4 linked regions of the Saccharomyces cerevisiae S288C genome follow. Changing the gene in region 3 together with the main gene of any one other region gives a genetic interaction. Each region holds a gene or a part of one and is shown on either strand. Other genes may lie near its edges. The genes, in order: PAM16, ROF1, MPF1 and MEF2.

Region 1 (7,568 bases), on a different chromosome or scaffold from region 3:
GTGTGTAATCAAATAGATATATTAAGGTAGCAACTCACCGGTCTGTCCATTTTCTTTTCCTGAATAACTTCTTCTGTCTTCACACATTCATTTCATTTTTATTTTCCAATATCACTCAACGAGAAAGAAGTTACAAGATCTATCTTTCAAAATAGTTTACAGTTACCTTTACTTTACCCTTTCCCTTTTCAGTTTGTTACCCCTTCTCCTAAAAGTTTTATTTTTTGGGTAAAGATATAAAGGACACTCCAGTCGGTTAAGGTGGCTGTCTAGAGAATATAAACCTGTATTTATTTACCAGGCTTATCAGAAAAGTTAATCGTGTTCTTAAATATTCATTGAAAAGGAACGTGATACAGACGTAATAAAAGAAGAGTACTAAGCTTAACTTAATAGGTCATTTATGGTTGAAAAACGTAGTAGACAGAGTTCCAGTAGTGGCTCAGAGTTCAGTGTTCCACCTGATGTCGATAACCCGCCACTTTCTATCCCTTTGAAGACTTTATCAGACAGATATCAGCTGATCGAAAAACTAGGTGCAGGATCATTTGGTTGTGTAACTTTAGCCAAAGCGCAATTTCCTTTATCGAACATATTGGGTAAACAACATGATATAAGGGGTACTTTAATGGATCAGCCTAAAAATGGTCACCAAAACTATATAACAAAGACACAAGGTGTAGTGGCTATAAAGACAATGATGACAAAACTGCATACACTCCAGGATTATACGAGGGTCAGAGAAATTAAGTTCATACTGGCAATCCCAGCGAATGACCATCTGATACAAATTTTTGAGGTCTTTATTGACTCTGAAAATTACCAATTACATATCGTAATGGAATGTATGGAGCAAAACCTATATCAAATGATGAAACATAGAAGGCGCCGAGTTTTTTCGATTCCTTCTTTGAAATCTATTCTATCGCAGATACTGGCTGGGTTAAAACACATCCACGAACATAATTTCTTCCACAGAGATTTAAAACCTGAAAATATTCTTATCACACCAAGTACCCAGTATTTTGAAAAGGAGTACATGAACCAGATTGGATATCAAGATAACTATGTCATTAAACTTGCAGATTTTGGTTTGGCACGCCATGTTGAAAATAAAAACCCGTATACGGCCTACGTTTCCACAAGATGGTATAGATCGCCTGAAATATTATTAAGAAGTGGTTACTATTCCAAACCTTTGGATATTTGGGCATTCGGGTGCGTGGCGGTGGAAGTTACTGTATTCAGAGCTCTCTTCCCCGGTGCTAACGAAATCGATCAGATATGGAAAATTTTAGAAGTTCTTGGTACACCTATCAAACGTTCTGATTTTGTTAATACAAACCACATCACAGCTCCACCACCTGGTGGATTTTGGGATGATGCCAGTAATTTGGTCCATAAATTAAACTTGAAATTGCCTTATGTAGAAGGTTCATCGTTGGATCATCTACTTTCTAGCTCCCAACTATCCGATTTATCTGAGGTTGTCAAAAAGTGTTTAAGATGGGATCCTAATGAAAGGGCAACAGCCCAAGAGCTTTGTGAAATGCCATTTTTTGAAAACACCGTGGCATCCCAAGTAGACGCAAGAGGCAATGTGACTAATACAGAACAAGCATTGATTTTTGCAGGTATAAATCCAGTAGCGACCAACACAAAGCCCATATATTTTAACTCTTCAACAAAATTGCCCGCAGAAACAGAGTCTAATGATATTGATATCAGCAACAACGATCACGATTCTCATGCTATGTGCTCACCAACATTAAATCAAGAAAAACTAACTTTGGTAGAATTTTTAAACGAATTCGTTGAAGAAGATAATGATGATCACTCAATACCTGATGTTGGAACAGATTCTACCATTTCAGATTCTATTGATGAGACTGAATTATCAAAAGAAATTCGTAATAATTTGGCCCTTTGTCAACTACCAGATGAAGAAGTCTTAGATCATTCATTATCGAATATTAGGCAGTTGACAAATGATATTGAAATTATAAATAAAGATGAAGCAGACAACATGGAACAGCTATTTTTTGACCTGGAAATTCCTGAAAAGGATGAGTTTCAGAGAAAACAACCATTTAATGAACATGCAGATATTGATGAAGACATCGTTCTACCATATGTGAACAACTCAAATTACACACATACAGATAGGTCACATCATAGAGGTGATAATGTTTTGGGTGATGCCTCTTTAGGCGATTCGTTTAATTCAATGCCAGATTTTACTCCAAGAAATTTCTTGATACCTACATTAAAAAAATCACGGGAAAAGTTCGAGCCTCATCTATCCAATTCAAACCAACATTTTGGAAATGTAACCTTCTAATAATTTGTCATTTGACTGACGAATCGTTAGGCACAGTTATATAGTTATATACACATAGACATACATATGTTCGCATATATATTATATTACTATGCATTCACCTAAATAGCTACTGCTCTATTAATACAGTGCTTTTTCGATGGCTTTAATTTAACTTATTAGACATTACTTTGCGTTTATTCCCCTCCAATATATTTTTATGTTTGTTTTTCTTGAACATTTTATGATTTCTTGCTCTTGGCGGCTACTGATTTTGTTAAGCAACTCATCAAGAGGTCAAAAAAAGTAGAACGAGATCTTTGTGTTCGGTTACCCGGCTCAGATCCTAACTTGGTATGTTTATTCGTATAAGTTACTGTTGTCCACAGGCAATACTCTGCAGAAAATTAAAACGGCATTAATGCTAGGACAACCAGAACTGTTACTACTGTATGTGCGATAGTTGATAACTGCAACATTATGCCCGGTATATTCTCAAAAAACCCTATTACTGCATACGAAGAAATCGCAAGAGAAATCTTTCGGTTTGGAAAAGCTCACTGTGAGGTTCCTTGGAGCCAATAGTAATACAGCACAATCCAAGGAAAAATCTGGCCTATATGCAAGGAAGGAGAGATAGTCAAAAGCATTCTTTCCCCTAGAAGTTGGTGCATATATGGCATCGTTAAAACATATTACCCCCAAAATTTCTTCTCTAAACGATGTGCTTGGCCTTTGTTTTGGTTTTTGATGTCGGTCGTTTGAGGCCCCTTGCGGAAAATCGAGATCGCCGAATGGCACGCGAGGGAAGGGAAATAAGGTTTAAAGGCACTGAAACAATAGGCAAGAAGTAGGCGAGAGCCGACATACGAGACTAATGTGTCCGCGTTTCTAAGGCCACTTTTCAATGAAACGGATATTGATATGCTAGTAAAAGGACGAGCTCAAGAGCGAAAATATAAGTAAAGAATTCGAGTGCACTTGTCTCCATGCAGCAAGATTTCATATGAGTCTTTTTTATCTTTTTACTTTTTACATTACACGATATGCACTTTATGAAAATTTAACGAGGTTGGAAGCCGGATAATCAACCAAAATCAGGCACGAAGGCACACTCGTATATGCATGTTGTTGAAACTCTGTTACGCTGAACTAACAATCACACATGTAGAGGTCACCGGGAAAAGTTGCGACCCCATGGAAGGTCGATCTCTTCGTTTGGCTTTGCTTGGCTGGCGGCATTGCGCTTCTTCGCTTATACCCGTCTCTTGACGCTCGAGCTCGTTCATTGAGATACCTTTATTCTTGCACATTTTCTGGCTTTTTTCGCTACTCGGGTACATGTAATCATGCACACAGAAGGTGCTGTAGGGTGAAAGTTCCTTTGTGCTGTCGTTTGTTTTTAATGCCAAACTTTCTGGTGATCAATAACCACCTCTTTTTCCTTCAGGAAACCTTATTATTGTTCTTGGATAGTACTAGGAAGTATATAAGGAACCTCGATTTTGGTATTGCACGGCTATACACATCTAAGAAACTTTGTATAAAAGGTGGCTACCCTATTCATAGCTTGATATCAATAGGCCATCTCATCACTTTTTATTGAAAAGGAAAGGAGGGAAATATATCTGATTCAAATTACTTGTTTGCTTCTCTTTAAGACAAAAGCATAGATAATTTCAGCGTGGAACGCCGGAATAAGATTGGTACCCTCGTCAGAAAGTTACAAATACCGCTTCATCTTCAAAATGACTTCACCGGAATCACTATCTTCTCGTCATATCAGGCAAGGAAGGACATACACAACCACAGACAAGGTCATATCGCGGTCGTCGTCGTACTCATCTAATAGTTCAATGTCTAAAGATTACGGCGATCACACACCCTTGTCCGTCAGCAGTGCAGCTTCAGAGACATTACCCTCACCTCAGTATATGCCGATAAGGACATTCAATACAATGCCTACAGCTGGCCCAACGCCTTTACATTTATTTCAAAATGACAGGGGCATTTTCAACCATCATTCTTCATCAGGCTCATCAAAAACGGCATCAACAAATAAAAGAGGAATAGCAGCAGCAGTAGCATTGGCAACTGCTGCCACCATACCATTTCCACTGAAAAAACAGAATCAAGATGATAATTCCAAGGTCTCGGTAACACACAATGAATCATCGAAAGAAAATAAAATTACACCCTCCATGAGAGCAGAAGATAACAAACCTAAAAATGGTTGCATCTGCGGTTCAAGTGACTCCAAGGATGAGTTGTTTATACAGTGTAACAAATGTAAAACGTGGCAGCACAAGTTATGTTATGCTTTCAAAAAATCAGATCCAATAAAAAGAGATTTTGTTTGCAAAAGATGTGACAGTGATACGAAAGTGCAGGTTAATCAAGTAAAACCAATGATATTCCCTAGAAAAATGGGAGATGAGCGATTATTTCAATTTTCATCCATAGTGACAACTTCAGCATCGAACACAAATCAGCATCAACAGTCTGTGAATAACATAGAGGAACAGCCCAAGAAACGTCAACTTCATTATACCGCCCCAACAACTGAAAATAGCAATAGTATACGGAAAAAATTGAGGCAAGAAAAACTGGTAGTATCAAGCCACTTTCTGAAGCCACTACTGAATGAGGTAAGTTCTTCCAATGACACGGAATTCAAAGCAATAACAATATCAGAGTATAAGGACAAATATGTTAAGATGTTTATTGATAACCATTATGATGACGATTGGGTTGTTTGTTCTAACTGGGAAAGCTCAAGGTCAGCTGACATCGAGGTAAGAAAATCATCAAATGAAAGAGATTTTGGAGTCTTCGCTGCAGATTCTTGTGTTAAAGGTGAGCTAATTCAAGAATATTTGGGCAAAATTGATTTTCAAAAAAATTATCAGACAGATCCAAATAATGACTATCGTTTGATGGGAACGACAAAACCTAAAGTACTTTTTCATCCACATTGGCCTTTATATATAGACTCTCGAGAAACAGGCGGATTAACAAGATACATAAGACGGAGTTGTGAGCCCAATGTGGAACTAGTAACGGTAAGACCGCTTGACGAAAAACCAAGAGGAGATAATGATTGTAGAGTTAAATTTGTTTTAAGGGCTATAAGAGATATTCGTAAGGGAGAAGAGATAAGCGTAGAATGGCAATGGGATTTGAGAAATCCTATTTGGGAGATAATAAATGCATCTAAAGATTTGGATTCCCTACCGGATCCCGACAAGTTCTGGTTGATGGGGTCAATAAAGACTATTTTAACAAATTGTGATTGTGCATGTGGGTACTTGGGCCATAATTGTCCAATAACTAAAATCAAAAACTTTTCTGAAGAATTCATGAGGAATACGAAGGAATCCCTATCTAATAAATCTTACTTTAATACAATAATGCACAACTGTAAGCCATAAACGAAATTTTAAAATTAATAGTATTCATTTTAATCTTTTTTGAAAGCTTAATTTTATCATCATAATTTTTCTTCCAAAACTTCAATCTTGGTATTTTTTTTCGCATTGGTCTTCATTTTTTTTCTTTTGTTTTTAGCTTTAATGTTGAAAGCGTGAATATCAAAACACTTTTATAATAAATCACCACTTTGTAACTATAGAGAACAATTCATGCTTTATTTATAGATGCCACGATTAAGCATCAATCATTAGTTGAGAGGATCCTTAACGTTAAAATCCACCGCACTTTTCCTTTCAAAAAGCTGCATTGTTTCCATAATTCATTTCATGGCAGGTTAATGACTTATTTGATATGAAGAGTGAGGTTCTTATCAAATGAAATTCCTACATATGAATTTTTTAAAAGAGAGTTTTTCGTTTTACGATATTTATTTACTTCATCATCGTTTATCATTTTTCACGTAGCAAATTTTGAAGCTTCAACTTATAACTCATTTGCATCCGATTCACATATTTCAGCTGACTATAAATTTGGCAACAGCTTCGTGACTTGAGCATAAGAAAAACATAGACTTGTTGGATATAAAATATGGCTCACAGGGCTTTCATACAGGTTATAATCACAGGAACTCAAGTTTTTGGAAAAGCATTCGCCGAGGCGTATAGACAAGCGGCTTCACAATCAGTGAAACAAGGTGCTACAAATGCATCTAGAAGGGGAACAGGAAAAGGCGAATATGGTGGTATTACGTTGGATGAGAGTTGTAAAATTTTAAATATTGAAGAATCCAAGGGCGATTTAAACATGGACAAGATTAATAACAGGTTTAACTATCTATTTGAGGTTAACGATAAAGAAAAAGGTGGAAGCTTCTACTTACAGAGCAAAGTTTATCGAGCAGCAGAAAGGTTAAAATGGGAACTGGCTCAGAGAGAAAAAAATGCGAAGGCGAAAGCAGGGGACGCTTCAACAGCGAAACCTCCTCCGAATTCAACAAATTCATCTGGTGCAGATAATAGTGCAAGCAGCAATCAGTAGTCAAGGAAGCCTCCATCATTACGTCACAAGTGTTATCGAAAGCATGCAGCAGTGCATATATTTTCCTAGTTGGTTGCTTCCTGTACGTTAGGAATCTTCAACCACCATCCTTGTATTTAGTTAATATTAGTATATGTACCAAAGTAAATATACTCAGATGCCATCTCGATATACGCACCGTACACGAAAATGAAATTAAAAAAAAAATGTTGGAGCACAAGCAAGGCAGCATCAGAACGTACCGTCAGTTGGTACCAAGACAAGTCCATCCCCGTAGGCACTACAAATTATGGGAATGAGAAAGTATACAAAATATAAACTGTCTTATCATGAAGAAGAGTCGCTTAGGAATTTAAACTTTCAAATCGCATTACGCAATTCTCTAAAAACGCGAACCTTTCCCTGATATGTAATCAGGGAATTTCCTCAGAATAATATTCGATCTAAGAAACCGGAAACGAAATGAAAATTGTTACTACTTTGTTTAGGAGTAGTCAAAGTTCATTCAGCTATGGGTTATGATGAAATGATTTAAATTATTCTCGCTCCAGTATTAACTTATTACGTAATATGAGCTTAAAAGAGCAAGCTCCTCATCACTCACACTCCATAACATGAAGAACGAAAATAACCTAATCTTTAGGTTTCTATGGTATAATGAAATTAATATTATCTAAAGATAGTATTAACCACTACTGATGTTAGCCTTTTGAAAAAAAATCAAAAGAAAAATTTGAATTTTAAAGAAGAAGTAACAAAGGGAAGAAGTTTTTGCCAA
Region 2 (8,562 bases), on a different chromosome or scaffold from region 3:
TGACTTGGTTGTCGGTTTGAGAACTGGTCAAATCAAGACTGGTGCTCCAGCTAGATCCGAAAGATTGGCTAAGTTGAACCAATTGTTGAGAATCGAAGAAGAATTGGGTGACAAGGCTGTCTACGCCGGTGAAAACTTCCACCACGGTGACAAGTTGTAAAGTGCTTTTAACTAAGAATTATTAGTCTTTTCTGCTTATTTTTTCATCATAGTTTAGAACACTTTATATTAACGAATAGTTTATGAATCTATTTAGGTTTAAAAATTGATACAGTTTTATAAGTTACTTTTTCAAAGACTCGTGCTGTCTATTGCATAATGCACTGGAAGGGGAAAAAAAAGGTGCACACGCGTGGCTTTTTCTTGAATTTGCAGTTTGAAAAATAACTACATGGATGATAAGAAAACATGGAGTACAGTCACTTTGAGAACCTTCAATCAGCTGGTAACGTCTTCGTTAATTGGATACTCAAAAAAGATGGATAGCATGAATCACAAGATGGAAGGAAATGCGGGCCACGACCACAGTGATATGCATATGGGAGATGGAGATGATACCTGTTCGATGAATATGCTATTTTCGTGGTCATACAAGAATACGTGTGTCGTCTTTGAATGGTGGCATATCAAGACCCTGCCTGGACTGATTTTAAGTTGTTTAGCAATTTTTGGTCTAGCCTACCTCTATGAGTACTTAAAGTACTGTGTCCATAAGAGACAATTATCCCAGAGAGTATTGTTACCAAATAGATCTCTGACCAAGATCAACCAAGCCGACAAAGTGTCCAATAGTATTCTATATGGTTTGCAAGTGGGATTCTCATTCATGCTCATGCTTGTATTCATGACTTATAATGGTTGGTTAATGTTAGCTGTCGTGTGTGGGGCAATATGGGGTAATTACAGCTGGTGTACTTCGTATAGTCCTGAGATAGATGACAGCTCCCTCGCCTGCCATTAAGATGGTGACAAATATTACAAATTTGATACTATTTGTATCTATTTTGTTTTTATCCGGGATTTTTCGTATTTCTTCCTCATTCATACCCTTCCCTTTATTTGTTCCCACTGAGTATAATGATAAACTACGTTAACATTACATGTATAATATTTAGCACTCGTACGTTACTAGTCTTTGACACAAGTTTATATATCCCCCCCTTTATGTTATCGTTTATTGGCTACAGCCTCAGTAATCAAAATAGTCCACTATTTCTATATCATTAACTTCTGCGTCGCCAAGATGTTAATCATGAAACGATCTAGTTCTTCAACAGTTTGCCAGCGACCATTCGAGCTAATCTTGAACAAAAGTAATACTATTTAAGGGTGGGCGCGGGTTGTTATACCGTTTTGAGACGATCTACTATAACGTTATATTTAATTATATAAGTGATGAATTTAATGTCCCGTCCACAACACGAAATCGCACCTCATTTCAACGCGGCAAGTATTAATGTTCTGCTTTATGAAAGATTCCATGAACCCTTTTCTACCTTTTAAATTCCTCTTTTCACTCTTAATCACATGATATTACCTTTACATAGGAAGCGCCAGACATCTTTTTGCCGAGAAAAGCCATTATGCAAGATAATCCTGTAGCCTCATATCAAGGATAAATGCCACTGCAAAAACGCAGTCGTTATTTGGGACTGTATTTAAATGGGCCACTGTTTTTATACAAGTCGAAAATACAATAATACAGAAAATTCAAGCAGGAAGCGAGAAATAACAAGAAGTAACTAGGCATGACAGTGAATGACAAAAAAAGATTGGCAATCATAGGTGGGGGGCCAGGAGGGTTGGCAGCTGCAAGAGTTTTCTCGCAAAGTCTTCCAAATTTTGAAATAGAAATATTTGTAAAGGATTACGATATTGGCGGTGTCTGGCATTATCCAGAACAAAAAAGTGATGGGAGGGTCATGTATGACCATTTGGAAACCAATATATCAAAGAAGTTAATGCAGTTTAGCGGCTTTCCCTTCGAGGAAAACGTCCCTTTATATCCGTCTCGAAGAAACATTTGGGAATACTTGAAAGCCTATTACAAAACGTTCATTGCCAACAAAGATGCTATCAGCATCCATTTCAGCACCGAAGTTACCTACTTAAAGAAGAAGAACTCTCAATGGGAGATAACATCTAAAGACGAACTAAGGACTACTAAATCGGATTTTGACTTCGTTATTGTTGCGTCTGGTCACTACAGTGTCCCTAAACTACCAACTAATATCGCAGGTCTCGATCTATGGTTCGACAATAAGGGCGCCTTTCATTCTAAGGATTTCAAAAACTGCGAGTTTGCCCGTGAAAAAGTCGTTATTGTGGTGGGAAACGGCAGTTCCGGCCAAGATATTGCCAACCAACTAACTACCGTTGCAAAGAAAGTATATAATAGTATAAAAGAGCCTGCGAGCAATCAACTGAAGGCCAAGTTAATCGAGACTGTCCAAACAATAGACAGTGCCGATTGGAAAAATCGTTCAGTTACTTTATCTGATGGAAGAGTACTTCAGAATATAGACTACATTATTTTCGCCACAGGCTATTATTACAGCTTTCCATTTATAGAGCCCTCCGTTAGACTGGAAGTGCTAGGTGAGGGTGTTACTGGCGACAAGCACTCGTCTGTCAATCTGCACAATTTGTGGGAGCACATGATCTATGTAAAAGATCCTACGCTGTCCTTTATCTTGACCCCGCAGTTGGTCATCCCGTTCCCGTTGTCGGAACTACAGGCGGCTATTATGGTCGAAGTATTCTGTAAAAGCTTACCGATAACTACAACTTTCGACTCTAATGCCTGCGGAACGCACAACTTCCCAAAGGGAAAGGACCTGGAATACTATGCAGAACTACAGGAACTACTGAATAGCATTCCACGTAGGGTCGGTCATTTCGAACCAGTTGTATGGGATGATAGACTGATCGATCTAAGAAACAGTAGTTATACAGACAAAGAAGAAAGAAATGTGCTTCTAGCGGAACACGCACAAGCCCTAAAGAAAAAAAAAGCACCATACTTCCTTCCGGCGCCACATACTTAACGTAAAAAGGAATGTACTTGTATAGAAAAAACACATATTGTGCCGCTTAATATTTCGTTTCCCTCATGTATATACCTTATCGCTGTTAAAATAAGAAATCTTCACTTCTGCTATCTTTTTTTTTCAAACATTGATTAATAATCCGGCCGTCCGCAGATTGCTTACGCAGAATATACCGTACCGCCACCGTAAAATTAACGAATACTTAAATTTCCGCCTCTTCCGTTTCGGCAATAGCGAACCTTAATGTAAGTTTTTAAAAGGCAGCGCCAAAAATTGCTCTGAAAGGCCTGCAGTGCTTCGCGGCTACGCAGTTCCCATGTAAAAAAAAAAGAAAACTTTCTTTTTGAATCTGGAAAATCCGCACAGGCGCGCCAGCATAAACCTCAGTATCCTGCAAAGGCCATCCTTTTAAAGATCTTAACAACGTATGAATCTGAGGCAGAGAGAAATTAAGCGATAAACGTTCCTTTTAGACTTTCACTTTCTTGGCCGTCATTTAAAAAAAAATTATCTAATAATCTCTAATTTTAAGTTGAAATCACGCTAACATATGACTATGACTATTAACCTTTTTATGTGGAAAAAAAAGGAAGAATATGTTGTAAACGTATTTTAGCCTTGTTCCCGGAACTTTAATCACTCTGGCAACTTTTTAAGTAGTCTGTCTTTTTCTCGGTCGTATATTCCTCAAAATTCAAGAGGAAAGAGGAAGTGAAGAAGAAAGCCTAGAAAAAAAAAATAGGCATTAACACAAAAACGCACCTAAGGGACTGAGGAAAATCAAAAAAATGATAATTGCAGTTAGTAAATCTTCATAATCGACGCCCACTTATTCTTTCTTTATAGTACCGGGTAGGCGGGTAATTCATACGTAGCTGCTGCGGGAGAACTACTATGTATCATTCCCTGTTTATTTGTATGAATTATTATTTAATACGTACATTCTTGTAAGCCCTTCTTCAACAAAACAAACAAATAAAGCGAGAAAAAAGGGAACCACGAATTAAGATAATTAATCAAACAATAGATAGGAAAAGGAGATCGACGAGTAAGCGTAAGAATGATGGATATCAGCCCTACCTGTTATGGGTACATCGACGACGAGCAAGATCTAGCCCTTGTTTTCCAGGGCGTATTCAATGGAAATTTGAGATGCATCGAACGGAGGCCATATGATGCAGAAAAGGTTGAATTAGTCAACCCCGGAAACATTTTTGTTTTCAACGAAGAGAAATCCGGCATCAAAAGATGGACAGATGGTTTTTCTTGGTCTCCTTCAAGAATTTCAGGCAAATTTCTCGTATATAGAGAGTATAATAGGCTGGGTTCCACGCACGATCTACCGCTGCATAATGTACCTGAGTATAATATCTTCGAGAGGGCTCATAGGAAGTATTTTTATACTGGACTACTGAAAAAAACATTTTCTCTAAAATTCAATATGGATCCCACCGACAGCACTAAGCTGGAAACATTTCATCTTATTGCGTACTATACGGAAAAGGATATTCATCAAGGAAGTTTGAGGAGACCTTCAGAAAATCCTTTCTTCCATAAATTTCGACCTTCACAGAAACTATTAGATGCTTTACAAAAAGTTGCTGTAGGAAATGGCAGATCTAACCCGTCTAAAAATAATGAGAGAGGCAGAACCAAAGCTCATAATTATAAAACGCGCAGGTCTTTATCATCTTCTCCGAGCTATTGTGATCTCTTGAGCAATTATAACAACCATCCTGGAAATATTCCAGTTAGGACCGCAGTTCAGTTACCTTTAACCACCTTCAATAACGCTCCTCGAGAAATGCACCAACAGCAGCACCGACAACAGCAACAATATCTCTTACCCATAGATGAACAGAATAAATTACCTCTCCCGTATATGCAGCACCAGCCACAACCAATTGGTGTTTACAATCCTAACTATCAGCCTGGATTGAGACGTACGGTCTCACAACCTATGATTTTCTGCAATACATACAATACTCTCCCGCAACAACCTACTGCAGCACCTTATGAACGGCGTGGCGTGTCGCCTTCAGTGATATACTCCTCCAATACATTGAGCCCAATACCATACCAAAATATCGATCCATACTCTTCGAGGTCGGGTCCTGAATGCAATCACTCTAAGGCGCCTATCGCCCCAACAATGATGCCCCCAGTACACCATATACTTGTGCATGATTACCGACAACCAAAACCAGTCACAGATTCTATTAATCCTCCAAATGTAAACATAACCACCTCCACAACCAACAAGAACCTAGATGGCATTTATATTTTGCCAGCTCCTCGTATGAATCCCCCGGCTCAAACACAATACCAAATGATTCATGCGCCAGACAGCATGCAACATCCACCAACATTTAGTAAAAACAACACATCAAGCAATCCTAAATCCCACCAATACTCAAAGTAGAAGATCAGCATCCTTTCAATTGCTGAAAGGTTCACCTAAAGTACCGCTCATATTCCAAAAGGATTCTTCACTACATAGAAAGGGCAGCCAATTGTGTGTTTTTCAGAAAGGGTTTTAAAAAAACAGGAGGGTGCTTGTTCTTGTTGTTCCCTACCATCGATGGATTTCGAAAAACTATTTATAGGACCATCTGATTTTCACCTCCATCATTGTATCATATACTAACAAGCATATCCAAATTTGTAATTCTATCATGAAATTTCCAGAGAAAGAAACGCAAGGGAACTGAGAAATCAAACCTAAAAACGGTTCTTGGCATTGTTATGAAAAATGAATAAACCAGGGGGGCAAAACAATCGAGAACCCCAATCAAAACCATGTGAGATACCCACTTCGAAAGTTACTGATATTATAACTCTTGTGTCCTCTCTTCTAATACCTTACTTTCACCTTTCTCACGTAGTTAAAGTTGCAACAACACATTTTGTCCTCATCCAATTTCTTCTATAGAATATCCGTTTGCCTCCAGGAGTGAAGAAATGATAGCAGTAACACTGTGAAAGCGAGACTAAGAGAAACGACTTAAAGCTCGAAGACTTCTTGAGGATACGTTTATGTTTCTGTGGCTTCTTCTTCGCGGCGCGGTTCTCGCGTATAGGAATGTTCTAAGACAAGAAGGCATGAAGTTATGTTAACAGATTCTATATCTACTCGCTACGCATATATAAACGGATTCATCATTGAAACAATGGTACTTGTGGTAATGTGTACGACGATTTCAACCCGAATAAAAGCAAAAGTGCAAAAAAAAAACAAGAAGCGCTTAGCACTGTTGAATCATTTAGAACACTACTAATGCTGGTAATACACTCAAGAATGAAGAGTGGCTTACTCCATTGTTGATGCAAAAGTTGTAAATTTCACGAATTATTTAATGCGTTCCTTGCAACCTTCTATTTTGATGAACATCAGGAATTGAAACAAAAAAAAGGCTTCAATCTCAACGGAAAACGGGAAGAAAACTACACTCGATTATACTATATATGCCAAGAAGATTCTCCGACAGATTGTCTACTTAATTTCACATAATATATCTTGTTTTACTAGCTTATTATATAGCGTCGCATTTAATTCATGGCGCCATCACCCGCAGGGAATATAACGACAAGGCCGATACCACGGGAAAAATAGGGCGAGCGGAAATACTAAAAGAAAAATAAGCTTCCGAAATAAAACACCGACAATGAAGTTCTTGGCAAGGTTCGGTTATTTCCTCTACGTAACAAGAGGTATAATATCCGAGCGTACAGGGCTAAAAAATTAATACAAAGGTGTAAAAGAAGGACATGGATGGTCCCAATTTTGCACATCAAGGCGGGAGATCACAACGTACTACTGAATTGTATTCGTGCGCACGATGCAGAAAATTAAAGAAGAAGTGTGGTAAACAAATACCGACATGTGCAAACTGCGATAAAAATGGGGCACACTGTTCATATCCAGGTAGAGCCCCAAGACGTACCAAGAAGGAGTTAGCGGATGCTATGCTACGAGGGGAATATGTTCCAGTGAAAAGGAACAAGAAGGTAGGAAAAAGCCCATTGAGCACTAAGAGCATGCCAAACTCTTCTAGTCCGCTATCCGCAAATGGCGCTATAACTCCCGGGTTTTCGCCTTACGAAAACGATGATGCACATAAGATGAAACAGCTAAAACCGTCAGATCCAATAAATCTTGTCATGGGGGCAAGTCCAAATTCTAGCGAAGGTGTCTCATCGCTAATTTCGGTGCTAACATCGCTGAATGATAATTCTAATCCTTCTTCGCACTTATCCTCTAATGAAAATTCCATGATTCCTTCCCGATCATTGCCAGCTTCCGTGCAGCAAAGTTCGACAACTTCATCATTCGGAGGATATAACACGCCTTCACCACTAATTAGCAGTCATGTGCCTGCGAACGCCCAAGCCGTACCGCTACAAAACAACAATCGCAATACTAGCAACGGGGATAACGGCAGTAATGTTAACCACGATAATAACAATGGCAGTACCAACACACCGCAATTGAGTCTTACCCCATATGCAAACAATTCAGCCCCCAATGGGAAATTCGATTCTGTGCCGGTTGATGCATCCTCGATCGAATTTGAAACTATGTCCTGTTGCTTTAAAGGTGGTAGAACAACATCGTGGGTCAGAGAGGATGGCTCGTTCAAGTCAATTGATAGATCCTTACTGGACAGGTTCATTGCCGCATACTTCAAACACAATCACCGTCTATTTCCCATGATTGATAAAATAGCATTCCTAAATGACGCCGCGACAATTACTGATTTCGAAAGGTTATATGACAACAAAAACTACCCTGACAGCTTTGTTTTCAAAGTATACATGATCATGGCTATTGGTTGTACAACTTTACAGCGTGCTGGTATGGTTTCTCAGGACGAAGAGTGTCTGAGTGAACATTTGGCTTTTTTGGCCATGAAAAAATTTCGTAGTGTTATAATTTTACAAGATATCGAAACTGTACGATGCCTATTGTTGTTGGGTATTTATTCGTTTTTTGAGCCAAAGGGCTCCTCGTCATGGACAATTAGTGGTATCATCATGCGATTGACCATAGGATTAGGTTTAAATAGAGAGTTAACTGCCAAAAAACTCAAGAGCATGTCTGCTTTAGAAGCAGAGGCAAGATATAGAGTGTTTTGGAGTGCTTACTGCTTTGAAAGGCTAGTATGCACCTCGTTGGGCCGTATATCCGGGATCGACGACGAAGACATCACTGTGCCACTACCGAGGGCGTTGTATGTGGATGAAAGAGACGATTTAGAGATGACCAAGTTGATGATATCATTAAGGAAAATGGGCGGTCGCATTTATAAACAAGTCCACTCTGTAAGTGCAGGGCGACAAAAGTTAACCATCGAACAAAAGCAGGAAATCATAAGTGGATTACGCAAGGAGCTAGACGAAATTTATTCTCGAGAATCAGAAAGAAGGAAACTGAAAAAATCTCAAATGGATCAGGTGGAGAGGGAGAACAATTCTACTACAAATGTAATATCCTTCCATAGTTCTGAGATTT
Region 3 (9,368 bases):
TCCTTCCGCTTGCGTGGCCAGCTGGTTAGAGATTGATTGGGCATTAGAGTCTGTAACAACCACAATAAGCTCCTCCTCTCCTTTTAGGAAGTTGGCATCTTCATCCTCATTTGAATAGGCACCCCCCTTTTTAGTACTATATATCTCCTTGTTGTCGTACTGTCTTTTCACAACTATTTCCATATCCTCTGGTTCCACTCCGGTAACATGGTACAATCGGTCCTTGAACTGCCTTAATTTAAGCGAATTTGGTAATTCCTTTTCTGTACGGACCAATTCACTCTCTATGACAACTCTAACCATAGTTTTGCCATGTAATTTTTTTTTCTATCTCTTTATTTGAATTCGTTGCTCTATGTTCTTGTCGCTTGTCTTCTTCAACTGCCGTTTCCCTGCGAGCCGGAAAAAAGTACTGTTCTTTCGAACAAAGGCGAAAAAAGCTGTAGCTGAAAACAGACAACTGGGAAACGACAATTAAGAATACGCATGTACGTGTATACTACTACAGTAAAAAAGAAAGTTATTTGAGAGCAGCACTTTGTTTACTACACAGAACATTAACCAAAAAAACATGCATCAGCAACACTCCGTATGTTTCACTTCTTATTTTCTTCCGTGGCAATAACCTTCCTTTTGACTTATTTATACTAACATTATAATAACTATGTTTCCTTTTTGAACTAAGAAATCAGAGAACAAACCACAACAGCAAAGGAAAAAATTCGAAGGCCCTAAAAGAGAAGCTATTCTGGATTTAGCGAAGTATAAAGATTCTAAAATTCGCGTCAAATTAATGGGTGGTAAATTAGTTATAGGTGTCCTAAAAGGCTATGATCAACTGATGAACTTGGTACTTGATGATACAGTAGAATATATGTCTAATCCTGATGATGAAAACAACACTGAACTGATTTCTAAAAACGCAAGAAAGCTAGGTTTGACCGTCATAAGAGGTACTATTTTGGTCTCTTTAAGTTCCGCCGAAGGTTCTGATGTACTATATATGCAAAAATAGGTTTAATAATATAATCTCATATAAACTCCCTTCCTTACAGTTGAAAACAAAATCAAATCACGGTATGGCATTTCTTTACATATTCTCAATACCTGACTGACATAGTATGCGCTACATAGTTTTGTCCTATTTTTTTTACACCGCGATTTGAAGTCTAAAGCCAGAGAATGAGGAAAAACGAAACAAACTGAGATCATTTGTATAAGGGGAGTCACTGTACAGCTGCCAATACCAATTTTCCTTCTGCCAAATCAAAAAAGTATCCGCATACACATACACCCCTCCCTCTACAATCTTAATTATTTACTGATTCCTTTCGTATTTGTCCAGTATGAGCAATACTAAGCATACCACTTCTCATCACATGGAACTCAAAAGGATCATTATCCTTACACTTTTATTCATACTCATAATGTTGATATTTCGAAACTCAGTGTCCTTCAAAATGACATTTCAAGAACTACTGCCACGATTTTACAAAAAGAATTCAAACTCAGTTAGTAATAATAACAGGCCCTCATCTATTTTCTCGGAAAACTTGGTGGATTTTGATGATGTTAACATGGTCGATAAGACCAGACTGTTTATTTTTTTATTTTTCAGTTTCATCATTACTATACCGTTTATGGTATAAATTAGAAAAGTTAAAGCAGCATGTTTTCATTTGAAACAAATACTAATGCAATAATAGGTACACCATCTACTACATAATTAATTGATAGTTTCCTTTTCCGTTAAGTGCATGCATAGGACGCCCATAATTTTTTAAGTTAAAAAAGCATGTATTTACCTATTCGGGAAATTTACATGACATGGATGCCATAAGGAACGAAAATGAAACATGCATGTCAGAGGAAAAAGAACAAAGCGAGAGGAAAAAGCTGTTGCATTACCACGTAATTTTGTATATAAATATCTGATAAATAACCATTTTATTTCCATCCACTTCTTCTGTCGTTCATCCGTTCATTGACATCACTAGAGACACCAGCGAGCTATCATCTTCATACAACAATAACTACCAACCTTAATGCAACCGATCACCACTGCTTCCACACAAGCCACTCAGAAGGATAAATCCTCTGAAAAGAAAGACAACTATATAATCAAGGGCCTCTTCTGGGATCCCGCCTGTGTTATCGCTTAATTTTTGACGACAACCAAGAGGTCAAATCAATATCTACCCTTTCATTTATTACGTGTTGCTGGCAAACTAATTTATTCCAATTCTCTCATCATTAGCTCACCCTTTCCATACTTTTTCATACTTTTATACATATGTATTTGTAGTTATCACTTTAACAGATTTTTTCATGTTTTTCTTTTCTGATACGCCTTTCCCTCCGCAGGAAATGAAAGATGAACCACCCATTACATTCGATTTTTTTTTTAATTATATTTTTGACTATTATTTAATCATTAAAAACACATATATTTCATAAATTCGTAAGGTCGTTAGTTCTATCGTAAAAGTGAAAAAGTTTTGAGCCAGTTTTCAAAAACCCGCAGGATCCCACTATGTATGGCTTTAAATAATGGTTTTTCACGTGCATCAAGTCCGTACTATCTTCACCACTATAAACTCTTATAGGTGGATTATTCGTTTCGAATGCTGGTGGCAGTGCCGGTTTGAAAATAATCTTACCTACCCATGGGTGGTCTTCCGTTAACGGTTTGATGCATCTTAATGAGTCTTTGATATATCTTTTCCTTGAAACTAGTTGTGTCGCCGGTGCCCACTTCGAATCGTTACTGGATTGATTCTTATTTCCACATTTTAGTGACAATTTCTTTGGAAAATCATGATTTAAACAACCAGTCACGGAAAAGCTTTTCGTACTGAATATTGTACCGTACTCAACGTCCGCATTCTCATAGCGAGATTCTCTTTCATCCAAATATACCAATCTATTGATGTCATCATCCTCAACATATCCATCTTCATCATCCTCTTCGTAATTAGCATCGTCTTCGTCTTCGTCATCATCTTCATCTCCATTTACATCTTCATTGCCACGGTTTAACTTTTCTTCACGATTCGTACGCTCAGCAGAATTCGAAATAGTTGACCTTCCTGTTCCCTCGTATACCGGTTCAAAATTATTAATTTTCAACACTGACCGATCACAGCGCAAAGGATCTATAGGGTTGGAATTCGATCTACTTCTGAAGTTTTCATGGATGGATGTTTGTGCCGTTAAAACAGAATGTGCTGTGGGAGAAAAAGTGGAAGATAGAACAGAAGTATTGGTATTAGTAGTACTACCATTGTCATCGATTTCTTCTTGAACACTATTCAGTTCCTTCGATCTCATTTTTTGTCCAATGTCCATATTAGAGTTTTTTCTCGAACTGGAATCTGTTTTAAAGAAATTTCTTAGTTTTGATGTAAATAAGCCACAAAAATCAGTTTGAGAACTCTCCCCTGCCAATGAACCAGAGTCATTGGGCCCATTGGAGTCATGACTCGCATCGGATACAGAGGGAGGTAGCAAGCTTAAACTTCTTGATCTTGATTTGTTTGTCGGACGTTCGTTGCCGGTGGCCACTTTTGTTACAACAGAAGAGGTGTGTGATCTTCTTAAAAGTAAAGAGTGGGAGCGAGAATCATTTCTATCACTATTTTGTCTGCTCTTGTTTTTGTTTTTGTTCTTATTGTGTTGCTTAAATCTTCTTGCCCTCGGATGTCTCCTTCTGGGAACGCTTCTATAGGTGGGCATTTCCCTCAATTCCAGATCCAAGGACAGGGATATACCCATGTTCAAATACATAGCCCAATAGATCAATTCGTCTACATGAGAAAACTGCACTAGAAACTGTTGTCCCTCACAACGCATTCTTAAAACAAAATCTCTAGAGGAATAATCTATAGGCAGACCAACTTTGGCACATTGCAGGGAGTAACTCTTAAAGAGGCGCTCATCTGATAAAAATTTGTGCTCGTCTCGTGCTATTTCCCCGCATATCCTTTCCTTGTCATATTTATCGAATTGGTAAGTGGATTTCGTCGTGAACGCATTTAATAACGACCGAGCCGAATGATGGCGATCGCTAGCAGTTTTGGAATGGTGGGAATGGTCAAACATGTCACCACCACGATAGTTTTTAATATGCCTGGTTAATGAATCGTCAATAGAATAAAAGTTTATCTGCGTAGAGTTTATTTGAAGAATAAAGTTGTTCCATAATCGAGAAGAAGCATTTTCAAAGGGCGATAGTTTTTCCATCTTCATAGAAACCACAGTATAGTGTTCTACAGACGGTGTATAACTGGGAGGTTTCACAGAAGTGAGGCACGGACGACAATGCTCATATATAGGGTACCTAATGACTTTAGACGGATTCGCAAAATCATAACACGGAGGTTCCACTGGGTACGGATCTATGCAGTAAAGCACGTTTTTGTCAGCAACATCAACATCTACTCCGGATTGTGGCTCCACTATTTCGTTCATGATGTTTGTGTTAATGTCTGTTATGCTATCGATATGGTTAAAAGTCACTTTCGGAAGCGGAGAATCCAGAATAGAATTACTAGTAGTACTGGAACAAAGAAACTCGTCGCCCATGGATATGGATGAGGCTGTCTGTGAAAGCTTCAGCCCCGTACTATCCATACCGTCGTGGTCTATTGTCATTTCAAAGATGCTGGAGGACATTTTCTGAATAGGTCCGTTTATCTCTTCTGCTGTCTGCGAAAACAACGTAAAAAAATAGTGCTTAGTGTTACTGCCTGTGTAACAACTAGTGCCAAAGTTACAAAGAAACTTCACTAACAGTTTTTGCAATTTACCAAGAAAGCACCAACAAAATAAATAAATAGCATGCCTGTATATATTACGAAAAGTCCTTCAACTACGTCTTCCACTTGCTCTATCCCTTGGCGGAAAACAGAATACATGCAAATTTTAGAGAATTTTTCAAGATGCCTGCCCCCCACATTTTCTTACTTGATCAAGAGCAGATCTGTTCCTTTGCGCAGGGGGTTGCATGGGGGAGAAACTGGCCGGAAGCAGCCGAAAGAAAGTTCGCAAAAAGATAATGGGGACAGTATTAGAGAAAACGGCGTGGAGGGGTATGGAGGAAACAGTTAGCATAGGTAACGAAAAACCGCAGCAAAATAATTCTCTCTTTTTTTCTTTTGACTTAGTTGTGGGACCCGGATCATTCGGTACTGCATCTTATTCCCGTGCCAAGGTCTCTGGGTGTTGCTGATTTCCGGGTATCCAGAGCTCTATCTGCTTCCGTACCCAGTGAGTGAGCTAAAATAAAAAAGGGGCCTCGGCGGAATTTGAATTCGGGTTACGTTTCCCACGGAGCCCCGGATAGAAAAGATTAGTTTCAGGTACATGTGTCAAATGAGGATAAATCTCAAACACCCATGTACCGAAAATCGATGTGTTGGTTATATTACAAGGTTGGAATAGACCACGGTGATAAGACGTGGAATTTTTGACTGACCATGCGACTCTGAAGGTGTTAACCGGAGGAATTCACGTAATTTACATCTCAAGAACAGCAGAACAAAGATCGAGTATATGATGAAATTTCGTTTTACATGAATAAAGTCATATTTTAACTCACTGTGCACGGATTAAGGGCTGTGATTTAGTGGGACGAGTGGTTCTACACTACTCAAGAAGTCACGCTGTCATTTGATGGAATTACAGTGCTTATTAGGAGCCGTGTAGCTTAGTGTGAATTGATGGAAGCTTTCGAGTTTCATAGAACATATCTGGTGAATGTATATGAGTTTTTCATTCCTTTTACGAGACGCAACTTTCCGCGGTTACGGAACTGTTGTTTTGTTTTACATCTTTTCATTTTTCATACATTTTATTGAGGCGTAGAAATGAAATGGGTAGAGCGGCACATGGATGTAACAATCTCCATTATTCACGTCGAGCCGATACCCGCTTCTGTTGACGCTCTGTTAAGCATAGAACCTACGAGATTTGTGCTAAAGGACGTTGGCAAGGAAGAAAACTATTGTTGATGACAGGATTTATAGCAGTAAATATTTTTTTCTTTTTTGCGAAATTATGTACGTTTCTCATCCAAGAAGAATCCTGTTAATATTTAAATTTCTGCTAGTCATTATCATATTGCAATGGCTTTTATTAGTGAAAGCCACTGTCAACAGTAACTGAGCTACTCCCTCCAATGTTGTCTAACTCTATGCTCTTTTTGGCGTCTGAATGAGCCATAACGAGGGAAATAACTGTATCAGGAATACTAACAGAATACAGATTGGATGCACTGGTGCTGGTGAGTTTTCTTTTTCTGATATTATTGGATAATATTTTCAGCTATAGACTATCATCATTCAGCATTGGTCACGCTAAAATATACGTTCCATGCATACGTGATAGCCTACTCGGTTGTCAACTTCATTTTATAGGCTGCCTGGTCACCGATTACCGCCCCGCTCAGCAGGACGGTTTAAGCTTCTGTTCTTGGAAACGACGTAATTCATGTCGGCCATCGAAATCATTCCTGGCTTTGTAATAGTCATAATGAACAAGGAATGCTGTCTTGGGTTTTTTTCCCTTTGCGAATACCCGGGCTGCCAAAATAGAAAAGGAACAAATGGTAGGTCTTTAAGATAAGAAAGATAAGATAAGACATCTTTTTTTTTTTTTTTTTTTTTTTTTTTTTTTTCCGATAACAAAGAAGAATCCTTCGGTCTCTTCTTACTGCTGTTACTGCTTATCAAGAGTGTCTGGTAATAGTCAAAGCCAGATAAGATAAGAAATGTAAAATCGACTATTTCCCTCGTAAAAAGCTTCAATTGCTCACGCATCGACGAATACTAAGCGGCGTGAAGACCCTGTGCCTTATCAATGAAGTATTCAGTACAAGAGGTGTTCATTCCGAGCCACTTTTCTGCACCATATATAAGCAGTAGTTACACATGTGCTAACCAAACATCAGTGGGTAGTAATCATTCGTGCTTTCACGTCCTTTCAAATTAAATATCCTTCTTAAATAATAAGTCTGCACAGAGCTTTGAAAGAAGTTTAGTTTTGTAATATATCATACTTAATATATTACAATACAATATCAACAATGTCTTACAATTTTACAGGTACGCCTACAGGCGAAGGAACGGGTGGTAACTCGTTGACAACAGATTTGAATACACAATTTGACTTGGCCAACATGGGATGGATCGGTGTGGCTTCAGCAGGTGTGTGGATTATGGTCCCAGGTATCGGTTTATTATATTCTGGTTTATCCAGGAAAAAGCATGCTTTATCCTTGCTTTGGGCCTCGATGATGGCTTCCGCCGTGTGTATTTTCCAATGGTTTTTCTGGGGATACTCATTAGCTTTCTCACACAACACTAGAGGTAACGGTTTTATTGGTACCTTGGAATTCTTTGGGTTTCGTAACGTTTTAGGAGCCCCATCTAGTGTCAGTTCTCTTCCCGATATACTGTTTGCCGTTTACCAAGGTATGTTTGCCGCAGTCACCGGTGCCCTAATGCTAGGTGGTGCCTGCGAGAGGGCAAGGTTGTTTCCTATGATGGTGTTCTTGTTTTTATGGATGACTATTGTTTATTGTCCTATTGCATGCTGGGTCTGGAATGCCGAGGGTTGGTTGGTCAAATTGGGTAGCTTGGACTATGCAGGTGGTTTATGTGTCCATTTAACATCTGGACATGGTGGTCTAGTTTACGCTTTGATACTGGGTAAGCGTAATGACCCTGTTACACGTAAAGGGATGCCCAAGTACAAACCACATTCCGTCACCTCGGTGGTTTTAGGCACAGTGTTCTTATGGTTTGGTTGGATGTTCTTTAACGGAGGCTCTGCAGGTAATGCAACTATACGAGCATGGTACTCTATTATGTCCACAAACTTAGCTGCTGCTTGCGGTGGCTTGACATGGATGGTTATCGATTATTTCAGATGCGGAAGAAAGTGGACTACAGTTGGTTTGTGTTCAGGTATCATCGCTGGCCTAGTGGGTATCACCCCAGCCGCCGGGTTCGTGCCAATCTGGTCAGCCGTTGTCATTGGTGTGGTTACTGGTGCAGGATGTAACCTTGCTGTTGACTTAAAGAGTCTATTGCGCATCGATGATGGTCTAGATTGTTACTCTATCCATGGTGTGGGTGGTTGTATTGGTTCTGTATTAACTGGTATCTTTGCTGCAGACTATGTAAATGCCACTGCAGGCTCTTACATTAGTCCAATTGATGGTGGCTGGATCAATCATCACTATAAACAAGTTGGTTATCAATTAGCAGGTATATGCGCTGCACTAGCCTGGACTGTTACTGTCACATCTATCTTGCTTCTAACTATGAATGCCATTCCATTTTTAAAACTAAGATTAAGTGCTGATGAGGAAGAATTAGGTACCGACGCTGCTCAAATTGGTGAATTTACATACGAGGAATCCACTGCTTACATCCCAGAACCAATCAGATCTAAAACATCGGCACAAATGCCACCTCCTCATGAAAACATTGATGATAAGATTGTGGGTAACACAGACGCAGAAAAGAATTCTACGCCTTCCGACGCTTCTTCTACTAAGAACACTGACCATATAGTATAATGATATACTCAAGCAGACTATGATTTTATGTTTAATCTTTATGTAACGCTTCATTTAATAATTTTATTTTTAATATTTGATATATTTTCTTTTTTTGATAACTCCGAATGATGAGGGGAGACGTTAGTATTACTTCTCTTGTCTTATGTTATTATCATAATCGATGACTTTAACTGTGCACACTATAATATACAGCATCTCCAGAGCATGATAGCAAGAAATTTTCTTTAAGAAAGCCTCTATATACCCTATATATGCTGTTAACAGGAAAAGAGCACAAGGTTTATTTTGCTTTGGTTGCAAATTTTCATCGCTTATAGAAGACATATTTTGATGTAAAAACCTTGATATACTTCCTTTTTGCCTTATCTTTCACTGTTTCCATCTCTTTTCTTTTTTTTTTTTTTTTTTTTTTTTTTTTTTTTTTTTTTTTTTGAATCTTAAAATTCTCGAAACTGCACTGAAATGGCGCAGGAAACTGACCTCATCGCATGCCAACGAAGATTGAAAAAAATTAACATATAAGGCTTATGAAAGCGACATCTTTTGCAAATGAATAATTGACAAGCAGGCCTGTGTATTTATAGTTATTTTGAAATAATAACTACCATTAGAACTAACAAAAGAAAAGAAAAAAAAAATAATGGTTTCTGTGGAGTTTTTACAGGAGTTACCAAAATGTGAGCATCACTTGCATTTGGAAGGTACTCTAGAACCTGACCTATTGTTCCCATTAGCTAAAAGAAACGATATAATTCTACCTGAAGGTTTTCCTAAATCGGTC
Region 4 (5,302 bases), on a different chromosome or scaffold from region 3:
CAAAGAAACGGACAGAATGCATATAAAAACTGTAATCAGTAATAAGCCCAAAAAATAGTGATCAGTCCATTTCAAAAATTGGTAAAAATTGTCCCATTACGAGAATTGGGATATTAAACGAGTCCCTTTTTACTGTCCAACAACAGGCACACTTCAAATAAAGACCGTTACTTAATAATAAATTGCACTTAGTAAAGATTGCTTTTCCATCCGTAGTAAAAGAAAACCCTTCTGTAATTTTTGACGAGGTAGAAGAACATGCGTTCAACATCAATAGTTTTTTCCTTTTATTGATATCATTGTAACCAAATGCCAGCAATTCGTTAAATATTTGAAAGTAATTCGAAACGCTTTTATGATCCAGATATTCAAAAATAAAGGAGGTGCGGTCTAATAGTAAATTTTTGTTAAAACCTGTTAAAGAATAGAATTCGTTACTGACAAAACAAATCTCGCCTGATCTTCTCCAGATGCACATCGGTGTGCAGCTTACTAATTTTGCCATGTTCTCCAAATCTAATAAAGCCCTTTGCAAGGTAACTTCCTGTAATAGCAAATCCTCTTCAATCATATTGGATGTTAACGAAATGAAAATTGGAGCATATCTTTCTAGTATAGAGCGTATTATAACTTCTAAATCATATCTCAAATTATGCTTTTGGGTACTGTGTTCGTCTTTTACTGAGGCAGATTTATCAATTTCAGCTCCTTCAAGAAATTTTTTTCTTAAAGTAGTTAGCAGTTTGGTGTATGCGAGCTTGTAATTATGCGGTTTTATTAAACATTTATTGTCATATAGGTCTTGAGGAGTCTTTACTAATTCACGAAACTTTGAAGGTGATATGAAATCGGTATCATGTTTCTCCAGATCTGCATCGGAGTGACTAGAACTGTCACATTCGCTTTCCAGTTTGGCGTTATGTGATGGGTGTGTATTAGCGTTTGCTCCACGATTCAAATGCAGCATGTCTAAAGATATAAAGGGCCTAGACACTACTTCATCATATGTATTGAAAGTAGAAGTGGAATGGCCGATCGAGGAGTCCTTTTGGTCATTCACGCTTTTTGTCGAGTTTAAAAGGTTCGTTAAATGCAATGACGAATTTCCCCGTGTAGATGCGCTAGGATTGGGATATTCTGATTCTTGGAGGGAAAATATCTGGGAGTTATTCGGTAAAAACGGCGTTGAAATATCTACTATATCCTTTAATTTCATGTATTCGTCATTGCACCACATACTATCAAAGTGAATATTAGTTTCGTCATCGACATCATCGTCACTCTTATTACTATCGTCCATTCCAGAGTGCACAGGAACGTTTGAAGTAGCAACCAAACAATTGGTAGCCAGCGGCTGCTGCATTGCTTTATGTTGCTCTAGGAAATGCGACTTTAAATTGAGAGTACTCTTCCGTACGGTGGGTATGATGGGGTCATTCATTAAATGTACTGCTTGTGAAGCTGATATATTATTAGAAGTATTTTCTAAGACGGTCTGGCGGTTATTCGTATTGAAGTTCGTAATACGTGGAATAGATCCAGCGCTTTGAAAGTTATCATTTATATTATACGTATATTGGATATTCGTATTGTGGGCAGGTGTTTTGCCTGGTTTTTCCTGATCTGAAGATAGAAAATCTCGCTGCAGATGTACGCTTGAGGGGGATACCGTCTTCGACGGCACATCATGTATTACCAGCCTCTTCCCCAAATTCAAGTATGGTTGTGTTCCATGCTTCTCAATTCGTTTTCTTGATTTCCTTTTCTTATCTCTGCAAAACTTCCCAATATTTCTTTTTAAACAGTTTTGACATGGCCTCCCTACGTCACACTGTATATGTTTGGTATGACAGAATTCACAAGCTGTCTGGATAGACTTTCTCGTCTGTTTCAACTCTGAAGGTAGTTTTTTGGTCATATGTATATATATTCTTGTATGCTGTATCCAAATATATTATTTCTTTACTCCCTTTATTGCTAAGCTGTAATACGTTAAATCATTCGAAATATGATCTATTCATGCAAAAACTTGATGTGTGTAACAAAGAAAATATCCGGTTCAGAGATCCGAACAAATGATAGTCGTACCCTTCCCCTTAGTGTTAACTCGTTTAAGCAGGCTATGATGATTAGTAAATCGTTTCAGCCTCTTCTCATTTCGACAATTTTTGAGGCCTTCCCTTAGTGAGAGGGGAGATAACCAATCAGCACAGAGAACGACGACGGCGCGGAGGCTGGGCGGTTAAAAGAAGATAATGTGAAATAGATCAACAAGCTTTCTGGTGGCAAAACGGCAGTCAGAGATATACAAAAGGGGCAAGATAAGTGAGGGAGGCTATGTGGAAATGGAATGTGCGCAGATGGGCGGGCGCAAGAGTAAACATTAGCAAGAACCGATTAAGTGTAATTAACGTTGGAAGTAGATACTTATCGACCGCAAGAAGTCCACTGTCTAAGGTTAGAAATATAGGAATTATAGCCCATATCGATGCAGGTAAAACTACCACAACAGAGAGGATGCTTTATTATGCAGGAATCTCAAAGCATATTGGAGACGTCGACACTGGCGATACGATAACTGATTTTTTAGAGCAGGAGAGATCCCGAGGTATCACAATTCAAAGCGCTGCGATTTCATTCCCATGGCGAAATACTTTTGCAATAAATCTTATTGATACGCCGGGACATATAGATTTTACTTTTGAAGTGATTAGGGCTTTGAAAGTTATTGATTCATGCGTGGTCATTTTGGACGCTGTTGCCGGCGTAGAGGCACAGACAGAGAAGGTTTGGAAGCAAAGTAAATCGAAGCCCAAAATCTGCTTTATCAACAAAATGGATCGTATGGGGGCGAGTTTCAACCATACAGTCAATGACTTGATAAATAAATTTATGAGAGGAACAACTACCAAACCGGTGTTGGTAAACATTCCTTACTATCGAAAACAACCGACTAGCAATGATTATGTTTTCCAAGGTGTTATTGACGTCGTAAATGGGAAGCGATTAACCTGGAATCCAGAAAATCCTGATGAAATTATCGTGGATGAGTTGGATGGTACTTCTCTTGAGCAGTGTAATCGTTGTAGGGAATCGATGATAGAGACTTTGACTGAATACGACGAAGATTTAGTCCAGCACTTCTTAGAGGAGGCAGAAGGCGATTACTCCAAGGTTTCCGCACAGTTTTTGAACGCTTCAATAAGAAAACTGACTATGAAGAATATGATTGTACCTGTCTTATGCGGTGCGTCTTTTAAAAATATTGGCGTGCAGCCTCTATTAGATGCTATAGTTAATTATCTCCCTTCGCCCATTGAAGCCGAACTACCAGAACTAAATGATAAAACCGTTCCAATGAAATATGACCCCAAAGTTGGATGTTTAGTAAACAACAACAAAAATCTTTGCATTGCTCTTGCATTCAAAGTGATTACGGATCCAATCAGGGGTAAACAAATATTCATTAGAATTTATTCAGGTACACTAAACAGTGGCAATACCGTTTATAATTCTACTACTGGGGAAAAATTTAAATTGGGTAAATTACTGATACCCCATGCGGGAACATCACAACCTGTAAATATTTTAACTGCGGGCCAAATCGGATTGCTTACTGGCTCTACAGTCGAAAACAACATATCTACTGGAGATACACTAATAACGCATTCGTCGAAGAAGGATGGGTTGAAATCACTTGATAAAAAAAAGGAGTTGACGTTAAAAATCAATTCTATCTTCATTCCCCCACCAGTTTTTGGTGTTTCCATCGAACCAAGGACTTTAAGTAATAAAAAATCGATGGAAGAAGCTTTAAACACTTTAATTACTGAAGATCCCAGTCTTTCAATTTCTCAAAATGATGAGACTGGCCAAACGGTTTTAAACGGTATGGGTGAATTACACCTTGAAATTGCCAAGGATCGATTGGTTAATGACCTAAAAGCAGATGTTGAATTTGGTCAGTTGATGGTGTCCTACAAAGAAACAATTAATTCAGAAACAAATATAGAAACGTATGAGAGTGATGATGGATATAGATTCTCCTTATCTCTGCTACCAAATTCCGATGCCCTTCCTAACTGCCTTGCATATCCATTAGGAGTCAACGAGAATTTTCTGATAATGGAAAAAAATGGTAATTGGGATAAAGAATGGAAATACCAAGTTTCTTTCGAATCAATTCTAAATTCTATTATTGCAAGTTGCATTGTGGGACTTCAAAGAGGCGGAAAAATAGCTAACTTTCCCTTATATGCATGCTCCATCAAAATCAATAGCGATTGGTCAGTCCCACCTGATATTGAAACTCCACAAGAAATCTTAAAAATTACTAGAAACTTAATTTTTAAAGCTCTCAATGACTTAAAACCTGAAAAATACAACCTTCTGGAACCCATCATGAATCTTGATCTAACAATCCCTCAATCTGATGTTGGTACGGTGTTACAAGATCTAACAGGAGCAAGAAAGGCTCAAATTCTGTCTATTGAAGACGAATCAAGCGTGTCAAATTCTGGCGCATCCACTTGTAATTCTCCAGAGAACAGCAATAGGATATATATTCCCTCTGATGCTGTTACAACCCTACACGCAACCAAAGATAAAAAAAACACTCAAGAGACCAGTTCTAATGTAAAAAAAATTATAAAAGCGAAAGTGCCACTAAGGGAAATTACCACCTACACCAATAAGCTAAGGAGCTTATCGCAAGGGAGGGGTGAGTTCAATATTGAATATTCCGATATGGAGAAAGTTACCAACGATCGCCTACAATCAATACTTCACGACTTGTAGCAAAAATGTCCTTAATAAACGCCTTGTTATATCTTTATCAAAATGGTTTTTACAACTATCGAATAGTGTGAACCGATAACTGTGTAGTTGTATATTAATAGAACTTTACTTTTGCGCAGGAACAAACATTTTATTGCGACATAGGCATACCTTGCCCTCAGAGATCTTTATATTCTTGTTCCTCGTGGCCCAATGGTCACGGCGTCTGGCTACGAACCAGGAGATTCCAGGTTCGAGTCCTGGCGGGGAAGAATATTCTTTTTGTCACTAACACAACCATTCTATAAATTGAAGAGAAAAATTAAATGGCCAATATTCTACGTGCTTGTTATTAGAAACTCGCAACAATTGTTCTGCAAGGCCCCTCATTTTTTTTTGCTATATAAAATAATAAATGGTCACGTTGGCATAAGTTTGTGTAGAAATGCTTAAGATCACTTGCAAAAATATAAACTGAATAATAAAAAAAAGAGGTATAATACTGGTCGTTGCTTTTTCAATCACC

The links.
Region 1: mutations in MPF1 (region 3) and PAM16 together harm fitness less than expected from each alone (positive genetic interaction), as found in Saccharomyces cerevisiae (one large-scale study listed by BioGRID).
Region 2: mutations in MPF1 (region 3) and ROF1 together harm fitness more than expected from each alone (negative genetic interaction), as found in Saccharomyces cerevisiae (one large-scale study listed by BioGRID).
Region 4: mutations in MPF1 (region 3) and MEF2 together harm fitness more than expected from each alone (negative genetic interaction), as found in Saccharomyces cerevisiae (one large-scale study listed by BioGRID).

What each region holds. Positions count from the first base shown.
Region 1 is NC_001142.9:220,987-228,554, forward strand, and holds PAM16 (import motor complex subunit PAM16), read left to right. Parts: upstream 1-6,340; coding exon 6,341-6,790; downstream 6,791-7,568. Other genes in the region: protein kinase IME2, read left to right, coding at 404-2,341; SET4 (Set4p), read left to right, coding at 4,069-5,751. UniProt on the Saccharomyces cerevisiae protein: Essential component of the PAM complex, a complex required for the translocation of transit peptide-containing proteins from the inner membrane into the mitochondrial matrix in an ATP-dependent manner.
Region 2 is NC_001140.6:452,481-461,042, forward strand, and holds ROF1 (Rof1p), read left to right. Parts: upstream 1-4,110; coding exon 4,111-5,472; downstream 5,473-8,562. Other genes in the region: phosphopyruvate hydratase ENO2, read left to right, coding at 1-160; CTR2 (low-affinity Cu transporter), read left to right, coding at 392-961; YHR175W-A (uncharacterized protein), read left to right, coding at 1,078-1,227; FMO1 (N,N-dimethylaniline monooxygenase), read left to right, coding at 1,749-3,047; STB5 (Stb5p), read left to right, coding at 6,819-8,562.
Region 3 is NC_001146.8:350,369-359,736, forward strand, and holds MPF1 (Mpf1p), read right to left. Parts: upstream 4,675-9,368; coding exon 2,452-4,674; downstream 1-2,451. Other genes in the region: ALF1 (Alf1p), read right to left, coding at 1-303; Sm-like protein LSM7, read left to right, coding at 572-589, 686-1,015; YNL146C-A (uncharacterized protein), read right to left, coding at 1,018-1,212; YNL146W (uncharacterized protein), read left to right, coding at 1,347-1,649; MFA2 (mating pheromone a), read left to right, coding at 2,046-2,162; YNL143C (uncharacterized protein), read right to left, coding at 6,426-6,818; ammonium permease MEP2, read left to right, coding at 7,085-8,584; AAH1 (adenine deaminase), read left to right, coding at 9,228-9,368.
Region 4 is NC_001142.9:228,964-234,265, forward strand, and holds MEF2 (mitochondrial elongation factor MEF2), read left to right. Parts: upstream 1-2,337; coding exon 2,338-4,797; downstream 4,798-5,302. Other genes in the region: GSM1 (Gsm1p), read right to left, coding at 62-1,918. UniProt on the Saccharomyces cerevisiae protein: Mitochondrial GTPase that mediates the disassembly of ribosomes from messenger RNA at the termination of mitochondrial protein biosynthesis. Not involved in the GTP-dependent ribosomal translocation step during translation elongation.